Linked DNA regions of Stegostoma tigrinum. The protein of the gene in region 4 purifies or fractionates together with the protein of the main gene of each other region. This does not show direct contact. Links are inferred from orthologs where the notes say so. Each region holds a gene or a part of one and is shown on either strand. Other genes may lie near its edges.

Region 1 (7,196 bases), on a different chromosome or scaffold from region 4:
TTGAATTAATTCACGCGATGTGGAACAATTTGCAGATCAATCCACAGATGCCTTGAATTCAGAAGTGATTTATGAGAATGCTCTCTTGACTGGAGGATTTCAATATAGGGGAAAGAGTGGATAGGGTAGGGTCATTTTCTTTGAAACAGAACAGTCCATGAAGGGGGTTTATAAAATTATGAGGGTTCCAGGTAGAAAGGCTTTGAGTTAACGGGAGGAGGCAGGGTTCTAAACCCTGGGCACAGACTTAGGACAAAAGGTAGGTTTAAGAGAGGAGTTGATGGGAAATTGTTTCACTCGAAAGGTAGTGGGGATCTAGAGACAGAAACTGTCATAATATTTATGGAGTACTTGGATATGCGCCTGAAGTGCTGTAATCTAAAAGACTACAGACCAAGAGGAAAATGCTACATGGAGCTGGACAGTTCCTCATCGGCTGGCAAACAGAGCTTGCAAAATGGCCCAATAATTAGGTTGTGAGTTAATCTCAGCTCAACATATTTACTTCCAGCCCTTAACCATTATTGCTCACGATGGATTCAATTCCTTGACCAAGACTGGAAGGAGCTACTTCACCTGTCCCTGTAACTGCGTTAACAATTATCCTTAAAAGTATAGGGTCTAGGCCCGAAACGTCAGCTTTTGTGCTCCTGAGATGCTGCTTGGCCTGCTGTGTTCATCCAGCCTCACATTTTATTATCTTAACAATTATCCTGCTAGTCAGTTCAGAGTTTATGGGGAGGAGATCAAGAAAAGAAAAGCAAATCTCTAAGTAACAAATTGATCTGAAACAATCTATTTCCGTTAAGTCCAATCACAGGGCATTCATAAGGTGTAAGTCATAGCAGCAATGTGTTCACCAGTGTCTTTTTTAAAAGAAGTTTTTACACATTTGCCTGTCTGTCAGCTTTCCCTGCTTAGTATGGCACCTCTGTACTTAGAACACATTCCTTCTGAGCCTTCCACCCTCAGTGCAGAGACAGGTAGATTATTACGTAGAACTGTGACAACATACCAAGAAGCCATTCAGCCCTTCGACAATAATCTAATCAGTACCATTCTCAGACCCTCCCCTGTTCCATTCTCACTGGTCCTACACCATTCCTGTTCCACCCCATATCCGTCCCTGGTCCCATGTGCACTCCTCCATGGCTTTGTGCCCATCAGCCCCTTTCAGAGAATCCCGATAGTATGGAAGCAGGCCATTCAGCCCATCGAGCTCACACCGGCTCTCTGACAAGCATCCCATTCAGACCCACCCCCCAACCCTATCCCTGTAACCATGCATTTCCCATGGCTAATCCACCTAGCCTGCACATTCCGGAGCATTATGGGCAATTTAGCATGGCCAATCCACCTAATCTGCACATTTTTGGATTGTGGGAGGAAACCAAGTCAGACAGAAATTCCAAGATGGCGGCAGAGTATGACACTCCAGCCGGACCTCAACTGCACTTCTTTTTCTTTTCTTCACTTTTCCTCCCTCCTTTTGGTGTTTTTTCCCTCTTCTTCTCCTCCTCCTCCTCCTCTCTTGGCCTCCAACGACTCCTGGCCAGGCGGAGCGGCCTCCCAGTGTGGCAGTCTGAAGCGAACTCCCATGCTCACAATCCTGAAGGTGAAGTCTGAAGTCTGGAGCCTGGGCCTGGTGCGGACTGGGCACTAGGTGCCACTGTGGTCTGGGTTGGAAGACCATTGTTCTGAACTTTAATTTCTGCAACACTGGGCATTTTATTTCCATGCCTTCTAAGATCTTGTAACTATGTACCCCTGTGCCGAAGATGGCGCCGCAAGCAGCAATGGATAAAAACTTTTCACTACCCTCATTGTGTACTTAGGACAATAAAGTTAATTCATTCACATGCAGACCCTACACAGTCAGTCACCTGAAGGTAGATTCAAACCAGAGTCCCTGGCACTGGGAGACAGAAGTACTAACCGCTGTGCCACCCATTCTCTCATTCCACCCATTTCTTGCCCCACAATCCCATTTTCCTTCTACTCTGCTGACTTCCATACCTTTCACCATACCCTGGCTCTTGTCACCACATCCCATTTGCCCCTTCCTCCCAAATGGCCCTGTTTGCCCACTTTGCCTCCAACTCATCTTGCTGCCCCTCTGACCCTTATACTCCTACTTGACCCCATGCCCCAAACCCAGCCTTCCGGTCCCAGATAACAAAGCGTGGAGCTGGATGAACACAGCAGGCCAAGCAGCATCTCAGGAGCACAAAAGCTGACATTTCAGGCCCAGACCTTTCATCAGATAGGTCCCAGTTTTGTCCCCCAACCTGTTCTGCTCCATTTCCCCCACTCAGTTCCAACTCCCCTCAAGCACCAATCGGATATAAGTTAGGAAATCTGTGTGTGTCACCGCGATGACCCTCCTTCAGCAGGCAGCATGTTACAGACCGGTGCGGGGTAGTCCTTCCTCACGTTCAACACCCACCCCTTGCCCCCGCCCGTCCCAAACCCCAAAACACCTCGAATCCCACCTACCACAGAGACGAGGGTCATAACATGTCTGAGCAGGTCGATTTAAAAAGAGAGACAAAAACATGCACAACCATCCGTGGCAGGAGAAACTATGGGCCACGTGTGCCGGGTCCATGCGGTTTGAAAGCAACGCTGTAAGATGCTGCATGTATCTCCCCTGAGGTACATTCAGGGACACTTGGGGGCCGGAATGGAACGTTGCCCAGGTGCTCCCGGGGAACGTTCCATTCCGGCCCCGCGTGCTCCCGGGCAACGTTCCTCTCCCTCCGCGCATGCCCGGCCTTCTCCGGAGTGCCGTTATCGAAGCCCGTGAGCAAGGCCACAGAAGTGCGGCCACCACGTCGAAAGAGAACTAACGAACAGTCGATCTTAGCAGAGCAGAGGTGGCAACATACCACGTTTGACTGCTTCAGGAACTGCTTGGCAGCCTTGTCGAACTTATTCTGCAGCAGGAAACCGTAAATCTGCGGGTACAGGTCGCTGGGCACCACACGCGCGTCCATGTTGCGCACAATAACACGTCCTCCCCTCCCCCCGCCCCCCCGGTCTCAGTACCAATCGCCTACACCTCACTGATGCCCACTGCGGCTGCGCGGAGTCTGTGCAACACGTGACCCAGAGCCGGCCGGCGTTTTCTGCGCACGCGCGGATCCGTCCCAGGTGCTGACGGCGTTTTAAAGTCATTTAGACTCGAAACGTTAACTCTGCTTTCTGTGCAAGATGTTCTGAGTTTCTCCAGCAGTTTCTGATTTTTGCATTGTAGGGCGTTCTGAAGAAGGGTTAGTGGACTTGCAACGTCAACTGTGTTTTCTCTCTGCACAGATGTTGCTACTTTTCCTGAGCAGCAATTTCTTTCTGTCTTGCAGGAGTTCTGAAGGAGGGTCACTGGACTCAATTTGTTAGAACATAGAACACTGCAGCATTGTACAGGCCCTACGGCCCACGATGTAGTGCCAACCTACTATCCTACTAAGATCAAACTACCCTGCATACCTTACATTTTATTATCCTCCATGTGCCTATTCCAAGAGTCACTTTAAAGTCCCTAAAGTATCTGACTCCACTACCACTGTGGGCAGAGCATCCAACATACTTTCTGACCACAGATGCTGCCAGACCAGATGTGTTTCTGTTTTTGTTTCATATCTTCAGCATTCACATTTCTTGTGTTTTGTTTTATTCGCATTGTAAGGCTTTTATGTTCACGGTGTAATCTGCATTGCATCACACGTACGGATCATTTTGACTCCACCTGCGTGTGCTAGTGCAGACAGACTTCACTTGAACCACTTTCCACTCTGCTGAAGCTCTCATCATACATTTCCCCACACTTTACCTCTAGATTCAACAATACCAATGCAGTCCTGACCTGTCCACCAATAAAGGGGATGTTGATGGCTTAGAGATACAGGCTACTAGACTAGGTGGGATCGAGGTTCACAAGGAAGAGTTATTAGAAATCCTACAGAGGGTGAAGATAGATAAGTCCCTTGGGCCGGATGGGATTTATCCTCGGATCCTCTGGGAAGCCAGGGAGGAGATTGCCGAGCCGTTGGCATTGATCTTTAACTCGTCATTGTCTACAGGAATAGTGCCAGACGACTGGAGGATAGCAAATGTGATTCCCCTGTTCAAGAAGGGGAGTAGAGACGACCCTGGTAATTATAGACCAGTGAGCCTTACCTCAGTTGTTGGTAAAGTGTTGGAAAAGGTTATAAGGGATAGAATTTATAATCATCTAGAAAAGAATAAATTGATTAGGGATAGTCAGCACGGTTTTGTGAAGGGAAGGTCATGCCTCACAAACCTTATTGAGTTCTTTGAGAAGGTGACCAAACAGGTAGATGAGAGTAAACCGGTTGATGACCTATCCCCTCCCTACCTCCCCACCTATACTCTCTCCACCGATCTTCTTTACTCTCCATCTTCGGTCCGCCTCCCCCTCTCTCCCTATTTATTCCAGCTCCTTCTCCCCATCCCCCTCTCTGATGAAGGGTCTAGGCGCGAAACGTCAGCTTTTGTGCTCCTGAGATGCTGCTTGGCCTGCTGTGTTCATCCAGCCTCACATTTTATTACTAAGGTCGGTGGAGTTGTGGAGAGTGACGAAGGATGCTGTAGGTTGCAGAGAGACATAGATAAGCTGCAGAGCTGGGCTGAGAGGTGGCAAATGGAGTTTAATGCAGACAAGTGTGAGGTGATGCACTTTGGTAGGAGTAACTGGAAGACAAAGTACAGGGCTAATGGTAAGATTCTTAGCAGTGTAGATGAGCAGAGAGATCTCTGTGTCCATGTACACAGATCCTTGAAAGTTGCCACCCAGATTGACAGGGCTGTTAAGAAGGCATACAGTGTTTTAGCTTTTATTAATAGAGGGATCGAATTCCGGAACCAAGAGGTTATGGTGAAGCTGTACAAAACGCTGGTGCAGCCCCACTTGGAGTATTGTGTACAGTTCTGGTCACCGCATTATAAGAAGGATGTGGAAGCTTTGGAAAGGGTGCAGAGGAGATTTACTAGGATGTTGCCTGGTATGGAGGGAAGGTCTTACGAGGAAAGGCTGAGGGACTTGAGGCTGTTTTCATTAGGGAGAAGAAGGTTGAGAGGTGACTTAATTGAAACATATAAAATAATCAGAGGTTTAGATAGGTGGATAGGGAGAGCCTTTTTCCTAGGATGGTGACGGCGAGCATGAGGGGGCATAGCTTTAAATTGAGGGGTGAATGATATAGGACAGATGTCAGAGGTAGTTTCTTTACTCAGAGAGTAGTAAGGGAATGGAACGCTTTGCCTGCAATGGTAGTAGATTCGCCAACTTTAGGTACATTTAAGTCGTCATTGGACAAGCATATGGACGTACATGGAATAGTGTAGGTTAGATGGGCTTGAGATCGGTACGACAGGTCGGCACAACATAGAGGGCCGAAGGGCCTGTACTGTGCTGTAATTAGATTAGATTAGATTAGATTCCCTACAGCGTGGAAACAGGCCCTTCAGCCCAACAAGTACACACCACCATTTGAAGCATCCCATCCAGGCCCATCCCCCCATAACCCTGAACACTATGGGCAATTTAGCATGGCCAATCCACCTAGCCTGCACATCTTTGGACTGTGGGAGGAAACCGGAGCACCCGGAGGAAACCCACACAGACAGGGGGAGAATGTGCAAACTCCACACAGACAGTCGCCTGAGGCGGGAATCGAACCCGGGTCCTTGGCGCTGTGAGGCTGCAGTGCTAACCACTGCACCACCGTGCCACCCCTAATGTTCTATGTTCTATGATGTTGTCACTGGACTACCAATCCAGAAACCCAGGAAATGTTATCAGCAGCAGCAGCGCGAGCAGGAGCTTGGAGCAGGAGCCTGTCGGGAAGCTGATGAGTCACTGTTTTTGAATCGTTAAAAAGCTTACCTCGTGAATAGGTGGAGGGACGCTGAGCAGGAGCCAACATGGGACTGGTGAGTAAGTGAGGTAATATATTTGTGTGGTTGCGTTACCTGAAACACTACTCGGGTAGTGTCTTCCACCCATCCTCCTCCTCTAACCGAAAAAAAGGTTCTGTGTGCTTGATTGGTAAGGTAACAAGTTTATTTTTTATTCTTTTTTTAAGTCTTTGGGAATTTAGAATAATGGGAACGGAGGTCAAGGCAGTTGAATGTTCCTCCTGCAGAATGTGGGAGGTAAGGATCACCACTAGTGTCCCTGCTGACTACCTCTGCAGGAAGTGCACCCAACTCCAGCTCCTTGAAAACCGCGTTAAGGAACTGGAGCTGGAGCTGGATGAACTTCAGATCATTCGGGAGGCAGAGGGGGTTATTGAGAGGAGTTACAGGGAGGTAGTCACTCCTCAAGTACAGGAAAAAGGCAGATGGGTTACGGTCAGGGGACGGAATGGGAACCAGCAGGCAGTGCAGGGATTCCCTGTGGCCGTTCCCCTCAACAATAAGTATACTGTTTTGGATACTGTTGGGGGGGATGACTTACCGGGGAAAGCAGTGGGGCACAGGTCTCTGGCACAGAGTCTGTCCCTGCTGCTCAGAAGGGAAGGGGGAAGAGGAGCAGAGCATTAGTCATTGGGGACTCCATAGTTAGGGGGACAGATAGGAGGTTCTGTGGGGACGAGAGAGACTCACGGTTGTTGTGTTGCCTCCCAGGTGCCAGGGTCCGTGATGTCTCTGATCGTGTTTTTGGGATCCTTAAGGGGGAGGGGGAGCAGCCCCAAGTCGTGGTTCACATTGGCACCAACGACATAGGTAGGAAGAGAGACGGGGATTTAAGGCAGAAATTCAGGGAGCTAGGATGGAAGCTGAGAGCTAGGACGAACAGAGTTGTTGTCTCTGGTTTGTTGCCCGTGCCACGTGATAGTGAGGCGAGGAATAGGGAGAGAGAGGAGTTGAACACGTGGCTACAGGGATGGTGCAGGAGGGAGGGTTTTGGATTCTTGGATAATTGGGGCTCTTTCTGGGGTAGGTAGGACCTCTACAAGCAAGATGGTCTTCACCTGAACCAGAGGGGTACCGATATCCTGGGGGCGGAATTTGCTAAGGCTGTTCGGGTGGGTTTAAACTAATTCAGCAGGGAGATGGGCACCAAAATTGTAGTTCGACTATAGAAAAGGTTGAGAGTAGGGTGGTCCGAAATAAAGTTTCAGGGAAGCAAGATGGCACCGGCAAGCAAGAAGTTGGATTGAAGTGTGTCTACT
Region 2 (7,429 bases), on a different chromosome or scaffold from region 4:
CCAATACTCACCTTTCCTGGCTCCATCCCTGCCTCTTTGACCTATCTGTCTCCTCTCCACCTATCTTCTCCTCTATCCATCTTCAATCCGCCTCCCCCCCTCTCCCTTTTTATTTCAGAAACCCCCTCCCCTCCCCCTCCCCCTTTTCTGAAGAAGAGTCTAGGGCTGAAATGTCAGCCTTCCTGCTCCCCTGATGCTGCTTGGCCTGTTGTGTCCATCCAGCTCTACACCTTGTTATCTCAGATTCTCCAGCATTACCAGTTCCTACTATCTCTTGATCGTCAGGGAGTCTGATTAGGAAAACGGAATTATCATAAACTCCCAAGAATTCACAATGAGCCCAGGAAAAACCAAACCAATTTCTGCCTATTCAACAGTGCCTTGCATTTATATAGTGCAAGGTGAACCAGTAAGACTGCAGAATGTTAGGAATGGGAGATGATCCTTTGTTACAACGGGTTATCATGAAAACAAAAGGTGTATAATAGGGGACCGACAATCAGAGAATAACAAGTGCATAAGAGTACAGGGGAGACTTAGTGATACAATCCTATTTACCCTCTCAGGAATTCTCAAAGTGCCGATAGCCAATGAACTATTGTTCTGAAGACCTTCAATTCCCTAGATGGTCGCTCATGCCTAAGGAACTTTTACAAGCAGCGGAGGCTAAAGCTGTTGCCAGCCGTTCAGTGGGTAGGTACAAAGTGTACAAGGGTGCACTTGCAAGCCAGGAAGCGGCCAGTATAGGGTTAACTGACGGGCATTAACCATTGGCGATCTTTCTTAAACAGTGCAGGGGTAACAGCAGCAATTTACCGATCGGGGGGAGGAAACACGACAGGAGGTCACCGCCGCTCGCTGCATTACGGAAGCGGGGGCTGGGTAGGGAGCTCAGTTGTGCCAGGGCTGCTCTGGTCCAGCAACGCCTGCACTCAGGGGGAGCTGCGATGCCCCTGTCGCTGAACGGCATACCCAACGTCCCATCTCGTTGGACAAGGCGACAAAATAGGCAACTGCGACACCAACAAACAAATTTTCCAGGGAATCACTGGGTGAGAAGTGCTCTCTGTTGAACTACACAGCAATAGCAAGAATTTGTTGGAAGGGAATGCACCAGTCCTCTGTTTTATTTAATCTGGGGTGAATAAAACAACCTGCTGCTTTTCTTCAAATCTTCCCATTTCCCCTCAAAAACGAGCAATCCATATTGAAGTGTATCCTCCTCCAGTGCCAATAAATAGTAGCCAGGAAACTACTCAACAGTTACATGCCCTTCAAACAACACGGCAGTTATCTTTCTGCAGTCACTGCTATTGTCCTTGAGTCTCATCAGCTTAGAAGGCCCGGGGCTGGGGGACAAGGGGGAACCGAGGTAGGTCTGCCCCAACAGCAGCAGCATTGACAAGAACAGCCCCCAGCAAAAACAGACAGAGCCCTGCCATCAGCTCCCGCTGGAGGCCGCAGGGAAATCTCTCGCTCGTTCATCGCCCCGCACACAACACGCAGCATGAGGATGGCCACACCGTGCCAACTCTCAGCTGGCATATTCAACAAACCAGCAAAAGGAGCAAGGCATTCTCAAACAAAAGGCTCTCTGGCAAAGAATGCTCACACACATGCACATATACATGCGAAGACAGGGGAATTCCTTGCTGCTAAAAATAAGGCCATTGTTTGACTTTTCAAAGTGTGGGATTTGGGGATTCACTGTACGCTTCGGATGTCGCCCCCAGGGTCCAGCTCACGCCCCTAAAAGCGCTCTGTTCCCACACTGGACAGAGCAGACCCAGTCCATTTAGATTTTTCTCTCTCTAGGGGATTGGGTAATGTTATTACACATTCCCAACAAAGAGCTCTGGCTCCTGCTCGCTTCCAATATCCTCTGTTTCTTTCACCAGTCGACCCTCAGCGATTTCCCAGTGCCCTCATCCAAAAAACGCACGCCAAATACCCTCCTTTCAAAAAAAACCCGCATTGTTTTAAACATCACGGAGACTGAAACACACATGATCATAACCTTAAATAAGTCATGCATTGACCTTACGTGTGTTCTCACAATACATTTCTTGTCTCGTCAGCTAGGAAACAATCTCAATGCAATTTCCATCCTAGTTTCTATATTTTAGTGTCCTTTTTTTCCTCTCTGAAGGTCTTTTAGTTGTAGCTTCCAAAATATACAAATCCCCCAGGCAAGAGAGAGCCCTTTACCAGCTCTCCCCCAACCCCTCTCCCCTCTTACCCGAGATCTCAGCTGAAGGCACCGCGGTCACCGAGAACCCTTTGGAGTTGTACAGCGTTCTCATGTCCAAACAGGTCTTGGGTCTCTGGTCTCCCACAACAGGGGAGGGAAGGAGTCCCAGTAAAGCCAGGCACAGCGAAATCCACATCATCTTCGCAAGGACGGTGCAACCAAATCAAGAACTGAGTGTGTGTGTGTTTTTTTTTGTTTGCACAGGAGACACACAAAAAAATCCAAAATCGAGTTTTCAAAAGAAACTGGGATCAACGTAATCCAAACAAAAGTTTCCCCAAGTCAATTGCAGGAGGAAAGGAATTCCAACCGACTCTTGCTTTTTTTTGTTCACCTCTCTCTCTCTCTGGCTTGTGACTTACAATCTTCAGCAAAGAAACGCGAATTTCAATTTATCTTCTGTAGTTGCCGATGCAAACGGGTTCATTAATGACTCAGTTAAAAAAAAACACAGCCCACAGACCACACAAAGGAATACAATTAACAAATGCTACTTCTAAAATACATGAACACAATCCTGGGAGTCTTCTTCTTAATTCCAATTCTGCCCTTCCTTCTCTCCCCCAATGAGTTTGTTACCGGTTGTAGTAGTTTCGGGATGTATGATGAAGAGTCTCGAGAGTTGGAGAAGGTGTGTGTGTGTATGTGTATGTGAAGAATCTGTCCGACCTGGCACAGACAGAGACAGAGTGCCCACCTCCTACCTCTGTCTCTCTCTGTGCAGACGATGCCTTACTGAGTTTTCCAACTCCACCCCCAAAACCTCTAGCAGGATGTTACGACAGACGCGGTCTGGGACCAATGAAGACGGCCCCTGGCTTTGTCAATCACCTCCCTTTTTTCTCTTCATTGTCGGTGAGCCGCAGGAATGTCTTCTTATCCTCCCATCAGAGTGCCAGTGAGCAAGTGTGCACTGCTGTCCCTGTGTGTGTCAGTGTCTGTCCGCCTTTATGAATCTTCCATTCATTTAACCCTGTCAGCCACACACCTCCTCAAATTTACAACGGGGAATGGACTCAAGTGATCCTAATTCAAACGCACTGTTCACCTGGTCTGTAAATGCATTGCAATTTTCAAGAGAAAGAATTCCTTATTCCCACAGTGATGTGCGGGGAAGTGGGAGAGCCACTAAAATAGCCTTTTGACTGAGTCTACTGCTTACTTTTTGCCAATTGTGTTACGGAGATAACCAGGCCCCGGAAAAGATTTCAAGTCGGATTGATAAAGGAGGGTTTCGTGGTATTGGGTTCCCAACCTCTAACCTATCGCCCCTGAGCTGGAACAGGACTACTAAGGTCTGGTCTTTGTGTGTACTGCTTCCACATTGCCACTCCTGCAGGTCAAAACAATACCTATCATCAACTCCTCTGTCTGTGAAGGCAAAACAATCAAGTATAAAAGACACGCCTGCCTTTAGGTGGGAGGAATGAACAGGACGTTTCGGAGATCTGAGTTTGCCATTCTGAACAAAAGATCTGCTTTAGGGATATGAATTTTAAAACACGGTTCAAATAGAAAGAATTTTACAATCTCCACTCCTTAAAGAGGTTGAAAGTAATTAACCATTACAGTTAGACAGTAAAACAGTTGCATTGTAAACCATTGGGTTACCGCCTCTGCCTCACTTTTCAGAAATTGCGATGTAAGTTGTCCGTCATGTTTGCCAGAAAGAGCTCCAAATAGTGCTTCACAGTTAATGTTTTTAAGGATGGGAATCTTTAAGTATTGCGGAAAAAAATGGATCAATTTCATCATCTGCGAATACCTGGACTGAGTTTTTCATTAAAAGTTCTCTTTAGGCATTGGAACATGTTTTTAAAGTCAGGCATTTCGTGGAAACCTCCTGGTTTCAACAAATTGCTGGACTTGTATGGTGGAGGACACCTGTCTGGGTTTATTTTAATCACCAGTGAATTCGTTTCTGCATTTTCAATGTTTCGGATTCGGTATTGGTCCTTTAGCTTGCTGAAGGAAAGAAGCTTCCCAGATCAGCTCTCCTGTTTCTGAAAAACAAAAAAAAGTGCATCCATTGTGGTACTGGAACTCAAGATTCACCTGATCTCATGAGAACCATCTGAGGAGTTTGTCTTGATATTTCCTGAAACATTTGCAAACATCCCAGGGACGACTGTAGATGAATAGACTCTTGTTAACATGCCAGAATATCTGAATGAATGTCATCTGAACTTTCCACACCTCATCATTTTTACCTTCAAGAACTAACAGCTATTGGACAAAAGTTTTCTTTTCCCAAAGTGAATCTCTGCAGAGAAATCAATTTTCTTGTTTCCCTTTACCAGTAGTGTTTATGTATGTATGTGTTGGGTTATTTAGAAGGCTGAATGTTTACACTTCCATATCATGAATTGTTTGCTATCACTGACAATCGATCCTGATCCACCCACGTAGACACTATTGTCAGAAAAGCACAACATGCCTTTTGTTCCTAGCTGTGTTTGAAGTGCAGTGATACAAAACATATATCACTGAAAATGAACAGTCTAAAAGACAGTCATGAGACTAGCCTTGTAACATAGTCATTCAGCACAGAAACAGGCCCTTCAGTTCAACTCGTGCATGCTGACCAAGTCTCCCAAACTAAACTAGCCCACTTGCATGCATTCAACCCATACCCATCCAAGCATTTCCTGTTCATATGCTTGCCAAACGTATTTTTAATGTGACTGTGCATGCATCTACATTTTTACTTGATCAGAAAGTGAATTTGAATCAAGCATTGATTACTCATTGTATGATGAAGTACTTCCTCATAACATTTTAAATTTACTGAATATAGGTTTCAATTTGCCCTGTTCTTTAAATTTTATTTGATGTAACATGACAAATTAACATTTTCATTTCCTTCACTATTTTATACAAATGAACAAATTAGAAGCAGACAGGGCCTGCTCCATCATTTGTTAAGATCATAGCTGATCTGGTTGGAGAATGTTTAGATTAGGATTCATCAAAATAATTTGCCCACAAATTCTGTGTATGAGGGCTACGGTTACATCGAGAGCCAATTTTATCAATGTATACTTCAAGAGATGGTTTTCTTCCCAGGCCCACATTTAGAAAAAGCGTCAATCTGAAGATAAATCTTCTGAAAATAAGCCATCTGCAGAAAAGCCATCATTCTCCAGCAGGTCTTACCACTCCTAGTGACTCATAAATCTCATAGAAACCTATTGAATTCCAACAGGACTAGACAGAGTAGATACAGGATGTTTGCAACAACTGAGGAGTCCAGAATCAGGAGTCACATTTTAAGGTCATTTAGGATTAAGACAAGGAGAAATTTCTTCACCCAGAAAGTTGGGGGCCTTTGGAATTCTCTGGCACAGAAAACAGGTTAGGCCAAAACATTGAATGTTTTCAAAAAGAAGTCAGATATGGTTCTGAAGATAGAGGGATCAAAGGATATGGGGACATGGATGAAATTTGGACAATATCTGCAGGAGAGAAACCATGACTGGACACTCATGAGATGCAAGTACTGAGATGAATGTGAGCAGTGGGTTATTAAATTGGAGAGTGTGTAGAAAAGATTTACAAAGATGTTACTGGGGCCGGAGGGTTTGAGCTATAAGCAAATGCCTGACACTGGACTGGAGCGTCGCTGGAGTGTAGGAGTTTGAGAAGTGACCTTTTGATGTTTATAAAACTGTGAGGGGCATAGATAAAGTGAAGGGGCAACTTTTTCACACAGAGGGTGGTTTGTATGTGGAATGAACTGCCACGAGAAGTGAAAGGTGCAGGTGGAGTTACAACATTTAAAAGATATTTGGAAAGGCACACCAATAGGAAAGATTTAGAGTGATATAGGCCAAATGCAGACAAATGGGACTTGTGTAGTTTGGGAAACTTGGTCAGCATGGACAAGTGGACTGAAGGGTCTATTTCCATGCTGTGTGCCTCTACAACTCTAAGTGACAAGAAAGGACAAGATCGAGAATCAGCACATCCGGGTATCAGATTGTGAGACCATCAAAGAAGCCAGCTGAAAAGTCATTACAAGAGTATGGCCATCTGTTGTGGAGAGAAAGAGGAAATGTGATGGAGTTGGGCCTACCTGAAAGAAGCAGAGGAGGAAGACCTGAAACCAGATGGAATTGCAGTTGTAAGTGGCCCAAAGTAAAAGGGGAAAAGTGATGCCTCTATGACTGAAGCCTATGTTGATGGCACTGAAAATGATACATTAGGAACAAGAGTACACCAATCAACAAGAACATGGCTGATCTGATTTCACACTTAGCTCCATTTTCCTGCATATTCTCAATACCCTTTGTCTGCTTTGTGAGTTAAACGTTGATCTACTTCTGCCTAAATCCTCTGCATTTTAATCTTAATTGACGGATCCAGACTTCCAAGCAAGGTTCAAAATCTTTGTAAAAGCAGAAACATCTTTTGGCATCCACCATATCATAGAATCATAGAGGTCTACAGCACGGAAGAATGCTCTTTTCCCATCGAAAAAAAGAACTGGTCACAAACAACTATCTAACTATTCTAATTCCATTTTCCAGTACATAGCCCATAACCTTGAAGCCTCATATGTCATCTTAGGCCCTAATGTTTCAATAAGATAACCTCATATTCTTCCTGATTCCAGTGAATAGAGAACAAGTCTGCCCAATCATTCTTCATAAACTTCATAAGCTCCCAAATCCAAGGTACCATGGTCAACCATTACTGAGATAGCTGATCTCACTGGGGAGAAAACACTTAACGAGGTGACCTTGGGGTAGATCCTGATTTTAACAAATAAAATTGGATGACAGTAAGTCAGCAGCTCTTCAGTGTTGTGCTTTGTGGTGTATGTAGTTATTACAAGTCAACTGTGTGTGCCCACTTAATTCTTAGTTTCTTTGTCACGTTGAGTGGGCAGTTCTACCATTACAATGGTTATTCCACCAGCAAACCAAAGGCCAGAAGTTGCACTAAGATGGTGAAAAGTCACAGAGACTCCTGACAGAAACAAAAATTAGTGTGCCGTGGACAAGCAGCAGAATCCCCGCATAATCCACCTTCTGAAAGCTACTAGAACAATGTCATCGAAAGCAAAGGTATTAGACTCCCAGAAGAAGGAGTTCAATTTAGTTCAAATCTGGCGAAAAGCCAGTGGCTCCTATCTCTGCCATTGTAGGAACTGCCAATGCTGGAGTCTGAGATAAC
Region 3 (6,939 bases), on a different chromosome or scaffold from region 4:
ACAACCCCTTTAATAGGCTTCCCCTTACTGTTTAAAGAAAACAGTCGATTTCAGCTGTAATTATATTTTATGACCCAGTCTCTATAGCATAAGAATTCCATATATTCATTAACCTTGGAGAAGTTCTTCCTACTTCTGCCCTAACTAGGCAACTCCTTACTCTGTGATTGTGCCTTTTGGTCCAAATCACTTGAATACAGAAAACAAAATTTTCACATCTACCTTACATGCCCAAGAACCTTATATGCAGTTACCTAGTTTATCTTTCTCTCTTTTCTAAAATAACTGAGGGACACTTGTAATTGTCCAGTCCAAAGGTACAATTCTCAAACTAAACTGAATCTGTGGCATTTCTAAGAATAAAACTGGAACAATACAAATTTCAATTGATCTCCATTCCCGTACCTTGTCCTCATCTTTTGTTTTGATCCATTTGTGGATCAATTTCAAAGGAAAATTTTTAACAAGAGTTATCTTCCTTCATGCATATCCAAATTACAGTACTTCTGACATCACATGTAGGACTGATAGTTACAACAATGCATTAGAAATACACCGAGTACCAGCATTTACACAAATTTGGACAGAAAATTCAAACATTTCAACTAGATTCAGCACCTGCAACAGTCCACAATACTCCAGTACTGTACTACCTTGAGACCATTTAGAAACACAAATACATTTTAAATCAAGAAAGGTCTCAGAGATACTAAGAACTGCCAATGCTGGAGTCAGAGATAACACAGTATGGAGCCGGAGCAGCACTGCAGGCCAGGCAGTATCAGAGGGGCAGGAAAGTTAACGTTTCGGGTTGGGCCCCTTCACAGGCTCCATACTGTGTTATCTCTTAATCAAGAACAGTGGGGCTTTGCTAAAAATAGGCAAAAGGTTTCAAAAATCAAGACATGTAATCAGCCGGGGTCCACCAGGAGGATGATAATACATCAGTTCCTCTACGTCCATTGTCCTACAAGTCCATTGTTTCCACTGTAACTCAAAAACACTATTCTCTAGGTAGTAGATACTATCTTAAATCAGGACACACAGTTCCTGAAGTATCTCAATAATTGCACAGGAGCTCTACAGAGGACAAATTTAAATACTGCTGGACAAGAGGAGTTATGGCATTCACTCAAGGCAGGGGGACAACTTTACAAATCTATAACGGCATGAGATCAACTCAGCTTTGGGACTAGAGATAGTTTTGCAGTCAGAACGAACAATAAGTCATGACTGCAGAGCCAACTGCTAGATTTAACAGATCCACATGAGTAAGCTCTACATCATAATATTGATTTGGGTGCAGGTTGTTTTGGGCAGGACAATTACATTATTGTTTCCCCAAATCCCTCGACTGCCTCCTCCCTCTCTCTCTCAAGGATGGAGGATGTTAATCATTCTATGGGTGCAGTTTATCCCCACCATCTTGCATAACTGCGCCTTTTCAATGCCTAGACAGTTGGTACTGACAAGTTTTCTGAATGTGTAGCATTATAGTTCGGCCAGGTTCTCTCTCTACTCAAGCACTAGCATTAGTTAGAGGACAGTTATCAAATTAGCCAATGCTGAGAATATTGGCTGATGTTTCCCATGTGTTAAGGTGTTTTAAAGGCCAACTGTCTCAAACTTGACCTAAACGAGAAAAGGTATTCAACCCAGACTGGAAATGTAACCTGGATCATCTTGGTTTATACAGAGCAATAGCACACCAAGCAGTACATTTACCCAGTGTGCAAATTGAGAGAGGCAGGTAATAAGGGAATGCCACTTAGATCCAAGACGAGATTTTTTTTTAAAACACAGAGTTCTGAACTTTTGGAATTCTATGCCCAGAGGTCAGCACAGGCCCAGTTTTAAATATGTTTAAGAGACTGATAGATTTGATTACCTGTAATATACAGGATTACGGAGATGGGGTGGGGAAAAAGGCATTCATGTGTTCGACCAGCCACGATTACACTGAATGGCAGGGCAGGCTTGACAGGCTGAATGACCAACTCCTGTTGCGATATAATCCTGAATCTACAAATAAGTCCAAAATGATGTTCATTTTTTTTGCGCAAGTACATGCCTGCACTTCAAAATTAAGCAATCTGTAGCATGCATAAGATTTATAGATGGTTCTGCAGAATTTCACACTTCAGGGTAAATGACTTTCGACAGGAAGGATCTTGTAACCTGTTGCTTTACTTGCTCACTTTCCTATAAGAGAGTCTTCAATCAACCGAGGAATCCTTGGGATCCTCGTAAATTTTCCCAAATTACCCGATCCGCGCAGGGTTACTGGAAACTGAAATCTGGCGATTTGATTCAGTTGAGAACCAATCTTTTAACTCGGGGTGGGGGAACGGCATCAACTGGGATGCACACCTCAGACTGCAACACACTGCAGATCAGAGACAAGGCCATTTACAGGGATCAGTTTGCACACAAGGCCAATTGGGGACATGTGACATGAGGTATCAGCACTGGCACGGGAGGACAGAGAGAAGGCAAAAGGGCCTGCTTGGTAAAGGCAGCCCTAAAGGGCCGCCCACACCAATCCCCCGCCTCAACAACCTCAGGCTCCAGATGCATCGTAGCCGGCTCCTCGCTCGCTGTTATTGGCGCAGAGCGGGATCCCGGGTGTGGGGGCCCTCTACTACCTCAGCAGCTCCGACAAAGCCAAGACAACAACGGGAACTGCAATTCCTGACCCAGCTTCCCGCCCATGAGGAGCCCGAGGCCTAAAGGCCGAGTGCGGGGCTACCGCCAGTAAGAGGCCGAGGCCTACGATTTGTGTGCGCGAGCGAGTGAGCGGGGGGGGGGGGTGGGAGTTAGAGTAATCGCCGCTTCCCCTACACCCACCCCCCCCCGCCCGAGGACTCACCTGCACTTTAGTAGGCGGTATGCCGCAATGGGGGCCAAGCCGAGCGGGGCCGGGCCGCGCTCTGAGCGAGGGAACGGCGAGAGCGCGAGGCCGGGCCCGAGGCTGCAGCGAGCGAGCGCGAGCCGGGCAGCTCCGCCATTAGCGCCCGCCCATTGGCCGGGAGGAGTCAGCTGACTGTACGTGCCCCCCCCCCCACGACCTCGGGACACGCCCCCTTCCTCAGCCCAGGGAAAGGAAGAACCGAATGGCCACACGCCCGCTTGGACCCGGAGCCCGTTAGGGACGAACACAACCGCAGGCGCTGGAATCCAGGTAGACAAACAGGGGGCTGGGAGAAAGGAGCGGTCAGTGTTTTGGGTTTTACCCCCGCCCCCCCCCGCGTCCAGTCCTGAAGACAGCGAATGGCCGAAACGTTCACTGCTCCTTGGCCTGCTGTGTTCTTGTCCGGCCCTCGCCCGCCCCCGGGGATAACGGGAACTGCAGATGCTGGAGAATCAGAGATAACAAAGTGTGGGGCTGGATGGCTGGCGTTTCGGGCCTAGACCCTTGGTCAGAAAAGCTTCTTGATGAAGGCTCTGGGCCTGAAACGTCAGCTTTTGTGTTCATCCAGCCCCTCGCCTTGTTATCTCACCGGTTCCCGAGGCCTGTCCGGCCGTCAGCGGGAAATATTCAAACAGGGACCGCCTTTGCAACCAGTTCATTGGGCACATTCAGTCAGCTGATCTGGGACTTGAGTGAATGTGAGGTTGTGGGTTTCGGGGATTGTTGCCGCTGTTCAATGTCCACGGACGGCGAGGTATCTGTACCAAGCCCTGTCGGGAGGGGAATCGCTATGCCATGCCCGTACTTCATACAACTGTACAGCTCCGGAACAGGCCGTTCGGCCCACGAGATTGTGAGGAACATGACACTAAATTAAACCAATGCGCTTGGTACAAATCCCCGCATTCCTACCAAATTCGTGTGTTTGTCTAAAAATCCCTTAAATGCCCTTTATCGTATCTGCCTCCACCACCACCCCCACCAGCGCGTTCCAGAGTCCTACCACTCCATGTGTATAAAAAAAACTTGCCCCTCACATCTGTTTTGAAAATTCCCCCGTCATCTTAAATGCATGCCCCCAATAATAAAAATTTCAACTCTGAGAAATAGATTCTGACCGTCGACACACTCTATGCATCTCATAATTTTATAGATTTCTATCAAGTCTTTCCTCAGCCTCCACTGCTGCAGTGAAAACAGCCCGAGTTTTTTTTAACCCTCTCTTTGTCAGGTGAACTTGGATGTCAGATGAATGAGTGGCGCTCTGAAAGCGTTAGGGTTAGGTTTTGTCGTGTGACTTCTGACCCTGTCCACCCCAGTGCAATGCCAGCACCTCCACATCGTGTCCCTAATTAGGCTATACTTTTCCAAATGCATATAAATCCTATCTGTAAGAAATCTCGAGTAAAAAGGTTCCCAAACAGTGTGAGACTCAATGGTCTATAGTTTCCTGAATGATCCCTATTTCTCTTGAACGAACATTAGCTACTTGCTAGTCCTCCAGGAGCCCTCCAGTGGCTAATGAGGAGACAAAGATCTTGGTCAAGGCCCCCAGAAATCTCCCCTGTTGCCTCTTTCAATTACCTGGGTATTTACCATCAAGCCCTGGGGACACATCCACCTTAATGCTCTTCAAGAAACTCAAACTGCTTCTTTCTTGTCCTCAAAATTCCCTGGTATATGAGCATGCTCCACACTAATCTCACTATTTTCCATTTCCTTCTCCTGGGTGAATACTGATCCTAAGTACTCATTTAGGATCTTGCCCACATTCTCTACCTCCAAGCACAAGTTCCCTCCTTTATCCTTGAGTGACCCTGCCTCCTCCCAAGTTATCCTCTTGTTTTTAATGTTTGTACAGAATGCCTTGAGATTCTCTTTAGCCCTACTTGCCAAGGTCATTTCATTGCCTCTTGCCGCTCTTCTCATTCTCTGTTTGATTTCCTTTCCTGCTTTCTTTGTATTCTTCATGGGCCCTGTCCTATTTTAGCTTCCTAATCCTTACATATGCTTCCTTTTTTCCTTTTAACTAAATTCTCAATCTCCCTTGTCATCCAATGGTCCCTTACCTTGCCATCCTTCTCCTTCCTCCTTACTGGAATGTGCTGATCTGTGATTGCCTGATAACAGGTCCTCCCAATTAACACTCCCTAACTCCTGCCTAATATTTTCCCTCCCCGAATTCAGTGCCTTCCCACAAGGTCCTGACTTATTCATAGCTACAAAAACAGAAATTACTGGTAAAGCTCAGCAGTTCTGGCAGCATCTGTGAGGATAAATCGTCAGAACTGTGGGAGGGTCACTTGACCCGAATGGGAACTCTGATTTCTTTCCACGGATGCTGCCAGACCTGCTGAGCTTTACCAGCAACTTCTGTTTTCCTTTCTGATTTGTATCATTTGCCATCCTTTCCATTTTTACTTATTCATATTTATCCTAAAACTTAAGGAGTTGTGATCACTGTTTCCAAAATGCTCTTCCACTGAAAGGCTGTCACCTGGCCAGACTCATTAGCCAAACAAGGTCAAGTATGACCCTTCCTCTAGTTAGGCTATGTACATACTGTTTCAGAGAACATAGAAAAGTACAGGCCCTTTGGCCCACGATGTTGTGCCGTGGAATAATCCTAATCCAAAAATAAAATAACCTAACCTACACTCCCCTCAATTCACTGCTGTCCATGTGCATGTCCAGCAGTCGCTTAAATGTTACTAATGACTCTGCTTCCACGACTTCCACTGGCAAAGTATTCCATGCACTCACAAACCCCTTTGGATGCACTTAACAATTCTGCCCAGTCGAAGTCTCTTGCTCTAAGGGAGGCTCAGTCATTATTAGGGAAGTTAAAGTCATCACTATGACAGCCGTGTTGTTGTATCTTTCCATAATTTTCCTGCATACTTGATCCTCAATGTCTTGGTGGCTGTTGTATTAATCCTATTGGAGTGATTGCACCCTTCTTATTTTTGAGCTCTACCTGTATTGCCTCAGTGGATGTGCCCTCCAGCATGTCCCCTCTGAGTGCAGATGTGACTTTCTCCCTGATTAGTGATGCAACTGCACCTCTTTCACCTTCCTTTTCATCTCATCTAAAACAACAAAACCTGAAAATTTGAGTAACCACTCCTGTCACTCGTTAAACTGAGTCTCTATTGGTGACAACATCATAGTCCCATGTAGTGATCCAAGCTTTAAGCGCCCCAGCCTTACCTGTAATACTCCGTGTGATGAAATAAACACACTTCAGCCCATTAGTACCATCGTGCCTGCCCTTTCTTTCTGATTCACAGGTCCTAACATCTATCTTCCCCTCAATTCCTCCACTTGCTGACCTGCCGCTCTGGTTCCAATGGATCAGATCCAAGCTCGAAGTCCTGCCATATCCTGTCTTGAATGGTGATAAGACAATTGCAGAATTCAGTGGAGGAGAAGGTTGTACTAATGTTCCCATCCTCAATGATGGAAGGGCCCAACACATTAGCACAAAGGATTAGGATGCAGCTACAATTGCCAAGTGGACAATCCATCTCTGCCTTCACCAGTGGTCACCCGCATCACCAATGTCCATCTTCAGCCAATTTGATTTACTCCATGTGATATCAAGAAATGGTTGGAGGAACTGGATGCTGCAAAGACTGTGGGCCCTGACAACATCCAAGCAATAGTACTGAAAACTTGTGCTCCAGAACGTGCCACTCCCCTAGTCAAGCTATTATTTGTATTCCAGTACAATTACAATACTAGCATCTACTCAACAATATGGAAAATTGCCTAGGTATGTCTGTACATAAGAAGCAGAACAAATCCAACCTGGCCAATTACCGGCCCATCAGTGTACTATCAATCATCAGTAAAGTGATGGAAGGTGTCACTAACAGTACTATCAAGCAACACCTGCTCAGTGATGAGTTCTGCCAGGGCCACTCAGCTCCTGCCCTCATTACAGCCTAGGTTCAAAAAGAGCTAAATTCCAGGGGTGAGGTGTAAATGACAGCCCTTTTCATCAAAACCACATTTAACCAATTATG
Region 4 (7,830 bases):
GAGCTTCCTTGATACATAAAACAAAGACATTTATACGAGTCAACTTGAGAAAAACTGAACGATCTTTCAGCAGTGGCCCTCTGCACTGGTTGAGAACGAAATAAAGGTGCAAGGGATGTTCACGGGCAATCCGATTATAATATTGCAAACTCCGGATTTACAGTGTAGCTTTTTACGAAGAGGGCAGCGCAGTGCAATCGCAAGCACTACTGGGATTAAAATATTTGTGACTTCCAGCAAATTGTCACAGTACCAGAAGGAGATTTATTCTGTAGCTGGTCATTAATTCGAGTCCGGGACCCGTGGAAGTGACACATGGAAGCCCAGAGAAATGTTTAATTCAAGCTTCCTATGAACTTGTACCCAAACATGGGCCCCTGAAGAATCAGTACTGAGGATTTGAGAGCAAACCTGCCCATTTTATACCATATTTCCTCCACTTGACTTCTCAAGTCAGCTTCCAAGCCGAAGTGACAAACCAGAATGACAGCAGATAGGCAGACTCATCTTCAGTACATCTTCTCCCAGTTACGTTGATAAATCCTTCATTTTTGTTAAGACCCAAACTAAAACACATTTTACTGATCAGGATCTTTGCCGCTGGAATAGTTTAGGTCAGATGTGCAAATATTTAGCCTTTCTTACTCAATGACTCAAATTACAAATGCAATATTCTCCAAATCAAAACAGTCCCTCCAAATTTAAAGCTGGATACTCTGAACTACTATTATTTTCCTGCGCTGTGGGAGCGTTAGGCTGGATATAGCATTAGGGCGAATGGGATCAAAGGAGAAAGCATTAGGCTATTGAGTCGGACGATCAGCCATGGTGGTGATGAATGATGGAGCAGGCTGGAAGGGCCGAATGGCCTCCTCCTGGTCCTATCTTCTATGTTTCTATGAAGAATAAGGAGCTCAGTTGAGTTATATTTGTATTATCAACCAGTCAGCGGGTTATTGAAAGGGAATAGGAAACACTGGAATACATAACGTGATACGAATGAGGGAGGAAGAAATCTTTTACGAGTTTTGTGTTTTTTTAAGAAAGGAAGCTAAATGTGGAGGGTAACGCGGACTGGAATGATTATCCCGGGAGAATGAAGTATCTTTGGACCTGGGATCACACTAGCACACTCTCGCTGATGACAATCTGCTTGAAAAGGCTGTACTTCAGTTACGTAGCTGGATAATTGTGTCCAGAACGGAGCATTTGCGAACTCAAGAGTGCGTTATAAAGTGCAGCTTCAACAACTCGTTCGAACGTTGACAAATTACAAAGATGGGAAAGTAACAAAAAAAAAGGTACCTTCAGAAGTGTATCTAGATTTTTGGAGGGGAGTGGGGGCGAAGATGTGAAATCTGGCGCCGACACATCGAAATCTCCGCAGTATTATGTAATAGTAAAGAATTAAGCTCTGTTTTTTCATGCATGCTGCCTATCCAAACTAAATAGGCGCGACGGTCAAAGCTTTATAGCACAAAGCACAAACTTGACTCTTGTTGTGGAAAATGTTACAGGGTATATATGTCCAAAAATCCAGCCCCTCACACAAACACACACGTGCAAAAACACTAAAACTGACAAACTATGTGCATTTTCCATAGCACCTCCAGTAAAGTGCTGTCCACTGTAACTCTGCTAGTAACCACTTCATGCAGACGAGGGTGCTGTTGTACAATCGAGTCCCCTTCATACATGTAACAGATTTAAACCCCAACACAGCTCTGACTAAAAGCAAAATCTGGATTGCTTCTAGTGGAAGTTCTTTTTTTCAAGATTCATCTCTGAGAATATTTTGAAAATAAAAGGATTTTTTGTTTAAATTGCTGTGCCATGTGGATCAGTCCACAATCACCCTGCAACAACAGTTTAAGCTATAGACCCAGGTCACAATTTTCTTCCAGCGGCATTATCTTTCCACTTAACACATGTTTCCAAACAGAATGACAGCACCCGGCATTGTTGTGCGTCCCAACTTTGTTTTCGGTGTATAAGAAACTCCAAGTGCTTGATTATCCAGGGTGCTGGCAATTCCACACACACAGACACACACACACACACACACACACACAGGTACACATACACACAGGCAGACAGACACAGACAGATACACATACACACACACACAGGTACACATACACACAGGCAGACAGACACAGACAGATACACATACACACACACACAGGTACACATACACACAGGCAGACAGACACAGACAGATACACATACACACACACACACACGCACACAGGTACACATACACACAGACAGACAGACACAGACAGATACACATACGTACACATAACACAGACAGACAGACACAGACATACACACACACACACACACACACACAGATGCACACATACTTCCAAACTGAATACAGCCCAAATTTGGAACACTTCGTCAACAGCCTAGCATTGGTGACCAGGCACTTAAAAAAACTTAACCAAAATGTAGCCAAAAAAATGAGGCAACGTTAAAAGGTATTTTAGATCGCCGCTTTAACCTGTGATTCTACAGACAACGCTTCGAGCCGGCATCCCCTGCAAATCTGCCAGTACAGCCAAATACAATACTTACTTTGTTATGCTTTCACTTGGTGGACGTGTGGTCTAATTCCTGCGGCACCTGTCCGGTTAAATGAGTCCCAAGACTGTGTTATTTACAAGAGGCGATGAAAGGGACTGGAGCCCCACTCGCTGAGTTCTCTGCTCTGCTTGGAGGAGAAGTACGATGCTCCAGATGGACCACTGCCCCGCGAACCATGGGCTTCAGTCTCTTCAGGGAGCCACATGTGCTGCTGTCCGATCAGTTGCTGGATGGTGTTTGAGTCAGTCAGAGAGTGAGATTCAGGCAGAGCGAGCTGGGAGCCAGGCAAACAACACTAGTCAGAGAGACCAGGAAAGAAGCGGAGCAGCGCAGCGCTGGATACACACTGACTTCAAGCGATTAGGCAGGAACGGAAGAGGGGGAGTGTACATTACACACCCAGCACAGGGAGGGAGTGTACATTACACACCCAGCACAGGGAGGGAGGGTACATTACACACCCAGCACAGGGAGGGAGTGTACATTACACACCCAGCACAGGGGGGAGTGTACATTACACACCCAGCACAGGGAGGGAGGGTACATTACACACCCAGCACAGGGAGGGAGGGTACATTGCACACCCAGCACAGGGAGGGAGTGTACATTACACACCCAGCACAGGGAGGGAGGGTACATTACACACCCAGCCCTGGGGGGAGTGTACATTACACACCCAGCACAGGGAGGGAGGGTACATTACACACCCAGCACAGGGAGGGAGGGTACATTACACACCCAGCCCTGGGGGGAGTGTACATTACACACCCAGCACAGGGAGGGAGTGTACATTACACACCCAGCACAGGGAGGGAGGGTGCATTGCACACCCAGCACAGGGAGGGAGTGTACATTACACACCCAGCACAGGGAGGGAGTGTACATTACACACTCAGCCCTGGGGGGAGTGTACATTACACACCCAGCACAGGGAGGGAGGGTACATTACACACCCAGCACAGGGAGGGAGTGTACATTACACACCCAGCACAGGGAGGGAGGGTGCATTGCACACCCAGCACAGGGAGGGAGTGTACATTACACACCCAGCACAGGGAGGGAGTGTACATTACACACCCAGCACAGGGAGGGAGGGTACATTGCACACCCAGCCCTGGGGGGAGGGTATATTAGAGACCCAGCCCTGGGGGGAGGGTATGTTACAGACCCAGCTCTGGGGGGAGGGTACATTATACACCCAGCACTGGGGGGAGTGTACATTACACACCCAGCTCTGGGGGGAGGGTATATTACACACCCAGCCCTGGGGGGAGGGTATATTACAGACCCAGCTCTGGGGGGAGGGTACATTATACACCCAGCACTGGGGGGAGTGTACATTACACACCCAGCTCTGGGGCGAGGGTATATTACACACGCAGCACTGGGGGTAGTGTACATTGCACACCCAGCTCTGGGGGTGAGGATACATTACACACCCAGCACAGGGTGGGAGGGTGCATTACACACCCAGCACTGTGGGAGTGTACATTACACACCCAGCTCTTGGGGGAGGATACATTACACATCCAGCACAGGGAGGGGGGAGTGTGCATTACACACCCAGCTCTGGGGGGAGTGTACATTACACACCCAGCACAGGGGGGAGGGTACATTACACACCCAGCACTGGGGGGGAGGGTACATTACACACCCAGCTCTGGGGGGAGGGTATATTACAAGTGTGAGGTGATGCACTTTGGTAGGAGTAACCGGAAGGCAAAGTACTGGGCTAATGGTAAGATTCTTAGTAGTGTAGATGAGCAGAGAGATCTCGGTGTCCATGTACACAGATCCTTGAAAGTTGCCACCCAGGTTGACAGGGCTGTTAAGAAGGCATACAGTGTTTTAGCTTTTATTAATAGAGGGATTGAGTTCCGGAACCAAGAGGTTATGGTGAAGCTGTACAAAACTCTGGTGCAGCCGCACTTGGAGTATTGTGTACAGTTCTTGTCACCGCATTATAAGAAGAATGTGGAAGCTTTGGAAAGGGTGCAGGGGAGATTTACTAGGATGTTGCCAGGTATGGAGGGAAGGTCTTACGAGGAAAGGCTGAGGGACTTGAGGCTGTTTTCATTAGAGAGAAGAAGGTTGAGAGGTGACTTAATTGAAACATATAAAATAATCAGAGGGTTAGATAGGGTGGATAGGGAGAGCCTTTTTCCTAGCATGGTGACAGCGAGCACGAGGGGGCATAGCTTTAAGTTGAGGGGTGAAAGATATAGGACAGATGTCAGAGGTAGTTTCTTTACTCAGAGAGTAGTAAGGGAATGGAACGCTTTGCCTGCAATGGTTGTAGATTCGCCAACTTTAGGTACATTTAAGTCTTCATTGGATAAGCATATGGACGTACATGGAATAGTGTAGGTTAGATGGGCTTGAGATTGGTATGACAGGTCAGCACAACATCGAGGGCCGAAGGGCCTGTACTGTGCTGTAATGTTCTATGTTCTATATTACAGAACCAGCTCTGGGGCGAGGGTACGTTACACACCCAGCACTGGGGGGGGGAGAGTACATTACACACCCAGCACTGGGGGGGGATACATTTCACACCCAGCACTGGGGGGAGGGTTCATTACACACCCAGCACTGGGAGAGGGTTCATTGCACACCCAGCACCGGTTTGAGATATTGCAAACCCAACTCTGGGAGATTATTTATTGTACACCTAACTCCATAAGATTTATACCTATCTGTGTCAGATCTACTTTACACCATTCAGTACCCTCCTGCAATCTCCCAAGATTGACCACGAGTTCAGAGGGTTGTCCTGTACAGTTTATGAAGATAATTGCCAGCGATGGTTGAATTGCCTTCATTATACTCAGTGTAACAGGAATTGCACAGGTTGTGGTGAATCAGGCATGGTATGAAATGATTTCTCAATCGTTCCAGCAGGGAGTGTTTCTCATCTCAGTTTCTGTATTTGCTGAGATCCCCTGGGCCAGAACCCAGTGGTGGGTTGGTTTTCAAAATGAAAATTGCAGAAGTTCTCAAAGGATCCTCACAGGTTTTAATTTTGGTGCCAGGTCACACATGCACTGCTGATTAACACTCCTTAAGTTCCTTCATTATCCAAGGGCCCAAACATACCTCCCAGGTGAAGCAACACTTCGCCTGCAATTCTCAGAAGTTAGTCTACTGCATTCGCTGCTCACAATGTGGTCTCCTCGACATTGGGGAAACGAAGCGTAGACCTGGTGACTGCTTCGCAGAACATCTATGTTCTGCTCCAAAAAAGACCCTCAACTACCTGTTGCCTGCCACTTCAATGCACCAACCTGTTCCCTGGCCAACATCTCTGTCTCTGGCTTGTTACAGTGTTCCAGTGAAGCCCAGTGCAAGCTGGAGGAACTGGAGGAACAACACCTCATTTTCTGCTTGGGGACCCTACAGCCCTCAGGACTCAATATTGAATTCAATAGTTTTAGGGCCTAAACTCTCCCACGTCCCAGTCCCCTACCCCACACACCAGTCCTTGTTACCACACAACCTGCCACTACACGCCCCCTGTTGTTTATCACTAACAGTCCCCAATAACAACTATCCACCCTCTCAGCCTGATCGTTAGCAACTCCTTTGTCTGTCCAACTCTCTTTCTCTCTCTTTGGGCTCTATCCTATCGTTTACTCCCTACCCCACTCACCTCCCCATTTTCTGCATATAAACTGGCATTTTCCCAGCCACCATCAGTTCTGAGGAAGGGTCACCTGACCCGAAACGTTAACTCCTTTTCCTCCTCTACAGATGCTGCCAGACCTGCTGAGCTTTTGCAGCAAATTTGTTTTTGTTTATGTTCCTGCGAGATCTTTTCGTCCAAGGGACTGGTCACCCAATCTCTGAGGTGGAAGCTCCTTACTCGAGTTCCACTTAGTAACCTGGGGAAAACAAGTCAGTGATCTACCCGCAAATCTTGCCAACGTGTGCCTATAGGAGGTGGTTAGAGTGGAATAGTGTCCTTGTGAGCCATAGAAGGAACTTTGGAACCTCTTATAATCGCTATCCATTGCTCCAGGCTACAACATGGTAGGAAAATTGCAGTAAAAGTTCCTGACTGAATTGTTTCATGTTCTATTCTAAGTGGAGCTTATACTTACATATGTATAAACAAACTTATTAAGGGGCCTGTCTGTTCTCAAAATATCATTTTCTTTTCCCAACAAGGCCTAACATATTTCAGGGCAAAGCTGTTGGTTTTATTGTGGGGTTCAAATATACCTCCCCGCAATTGGAAACACCTCTCTGGGGCTGACTAGCACCTACATACACTGATCAGTTCCTTCGTCTGCTCCCTCACTGTCCCTGTTTTTCCACTTCCAGCAGCATCTTTTAATTACATCGAAAGGAAACATGGGATCTGCGCTTGTATTGTGGAACTTTTCTGGGATTTGAGTTCCTGATTCCGCATTGCAAACTCAATTTCCTGTCTCTCTGTCATCATCCTGTTTTATAGATCTTCAAGTTCTCTGTACTGCTTCAAACTTGGCCTCTTGGCCATCCTTGGTTTTAATGATTCTACCACTGGTGGTCAGGCCTTCAGCTGCTCAAGCCCTCAAATTTAGCAGGCCAATGATAAACCTTTCCATTGCATTGCCTCACTTCCTTGCTTTGAGTCACTCCTGAAAATCTGCCTTTTTGACTAAACATTTTGTGACCTGTTATAATTCTCCTGGTGCTTTTATTTTTAAATGAGTTACACAAATTATTGTTGGTGTAATGTACCATTAACAGTCACAAAATGCAAGTTTTTAGGTGTGCTGAGACCTTTCTACTTTTCATGAGTGTCACTGTTTACATTTAGCTACTTGTCTTTAACAACAAGCCACCAATTGAGAACTCTTTTCATTAAGAGTGTTTGTGGTGTTATGACTAGAGATTAAATCATATCCTCATATCCTTGAGTATCCAATTAAAGATTTTCCAAACATAGTCATACAGCATGGAGACAGACCCTTCAGCCCAACCAGTCCATACCAAACATAATCTTAAACTAAACCAGAGCCACTTGCCTGCAACAAAGAATCTGTGTTTACAGTGATTTCTATTCTTGTTAGCACATCTTCCTTAGTTACACCATTCGCAAATTAAAATGTAGCTGACCATATTTTTCAGAAACAACAATGATCCATCTTCCCCTCATCCTTTTCCAGCTCGGAGATAATGGGAACTGCAGATGCTGGAGAATCAGAGATAACAAATTGTGAAGCTGGATGAACGCAGCAGGCCAAGCAGCATCTC

Evidence for each region.
Region 1: the proteins of caM kinase-like vesicle-associated protein (region 4) and nucleolar and coiled-body phosphoprotein 1-like purify together in Homo sapiens (affinity purification with mass spectrometry; 3 studies listed by BioGRID and IntAct, counting the BioPlex papers as one, with this or other methods). This does not show direct contact. The link is inferred for Stegostoma tigrinum from reciprocal best matches to the Homo sapiens genes CAMKV and NOLC1.
Region 2: the proteins of caM kinase-like vesicle-associated protein (region 4) and glypican-1-like purify together in Homo sapiens (affinity purification with mass spectrometry; 3 studies listed by BioGRID and IntAct, counting the BioPlex papers as one, with this or other methods). This does not show direct contact. The link is inferred for Stegostoma tigrinum from reciprocal best matches to the Homo sapiens genes CAMKV and GPC1.
Region 3: the proteins of caM kinase-like vesicle-associated protein (region 4) and zc3h18 purify together in Homo sapiens (affinity purification with mass spectrometry; 3 studies listed by BioGRID and IntAct, counting the BioPlex papers as one, with this or other methods). This does not show direct contact. The link is inferred for Stegostoma tigrinum from reciprocal best matches to the Homo sapiens genes CAMKV and ZC3H18.

The regions. Positions count from the first base shown.
Region 1 is NC_081390.1:19,023,915-19,031,110, forward strand, and holds the start of nucleolar and coiled-body phosphoprotein 1-like, read right to left. Parts: upstream 3,017-7,196; 5' UTR 2,997-3,016; coding exon 2,889-2,996; intron 1-2,888. UniProt on the Homo sapiens protein: Nucleolar protein that acts as a regulator of RNA polymerase I by connecting RNA polymerase I with enzymes responsible for ribosomal processing and modification.
Region 2 is NC_081367.1:8,396,980-8,404,408, forward strand, and holds the start of glypican-1-like, read right to left. Parts: upstream 3,014-7,429; 5' UTR 2,391-3,013; coding exon 2,240-2,390; intron 1-2,239. UniProt on the Homo sapiens protein: Cell surface proteoglycan that bears heparan sulfate. Binds, via the heparan sulfate side chains, alpha-4 (V) collagen and participates in Schwann cell myelination.
Region 3 is NC_081369.1:66,842,981-66,849,919, forward strand, and holds the start of zc3h18 (zinc finger CCCH domain-containing protein 18), read right to left. Parts: upstream 3,016-6,939; 5' UTR 2,870-3,015; intron 2,023-2,869; exon of another isoform or gene 1,889-2,022; intron 1-1,888.
Region 4 is NC_081364.1:13,128,074-13,135,903, forward strand, and holds the start of caM kinase-like vesicle-associated protein, read right to left. Parts: upstream 3,005-7,830; 5' UTR 2,581-3,004; intron 1,402-2,580; exon of another isoform or gene 1,306-1,401; intron 1-1,305. UniProt on the Homo sapiens protein: Does not appear to have detectable kinase activity.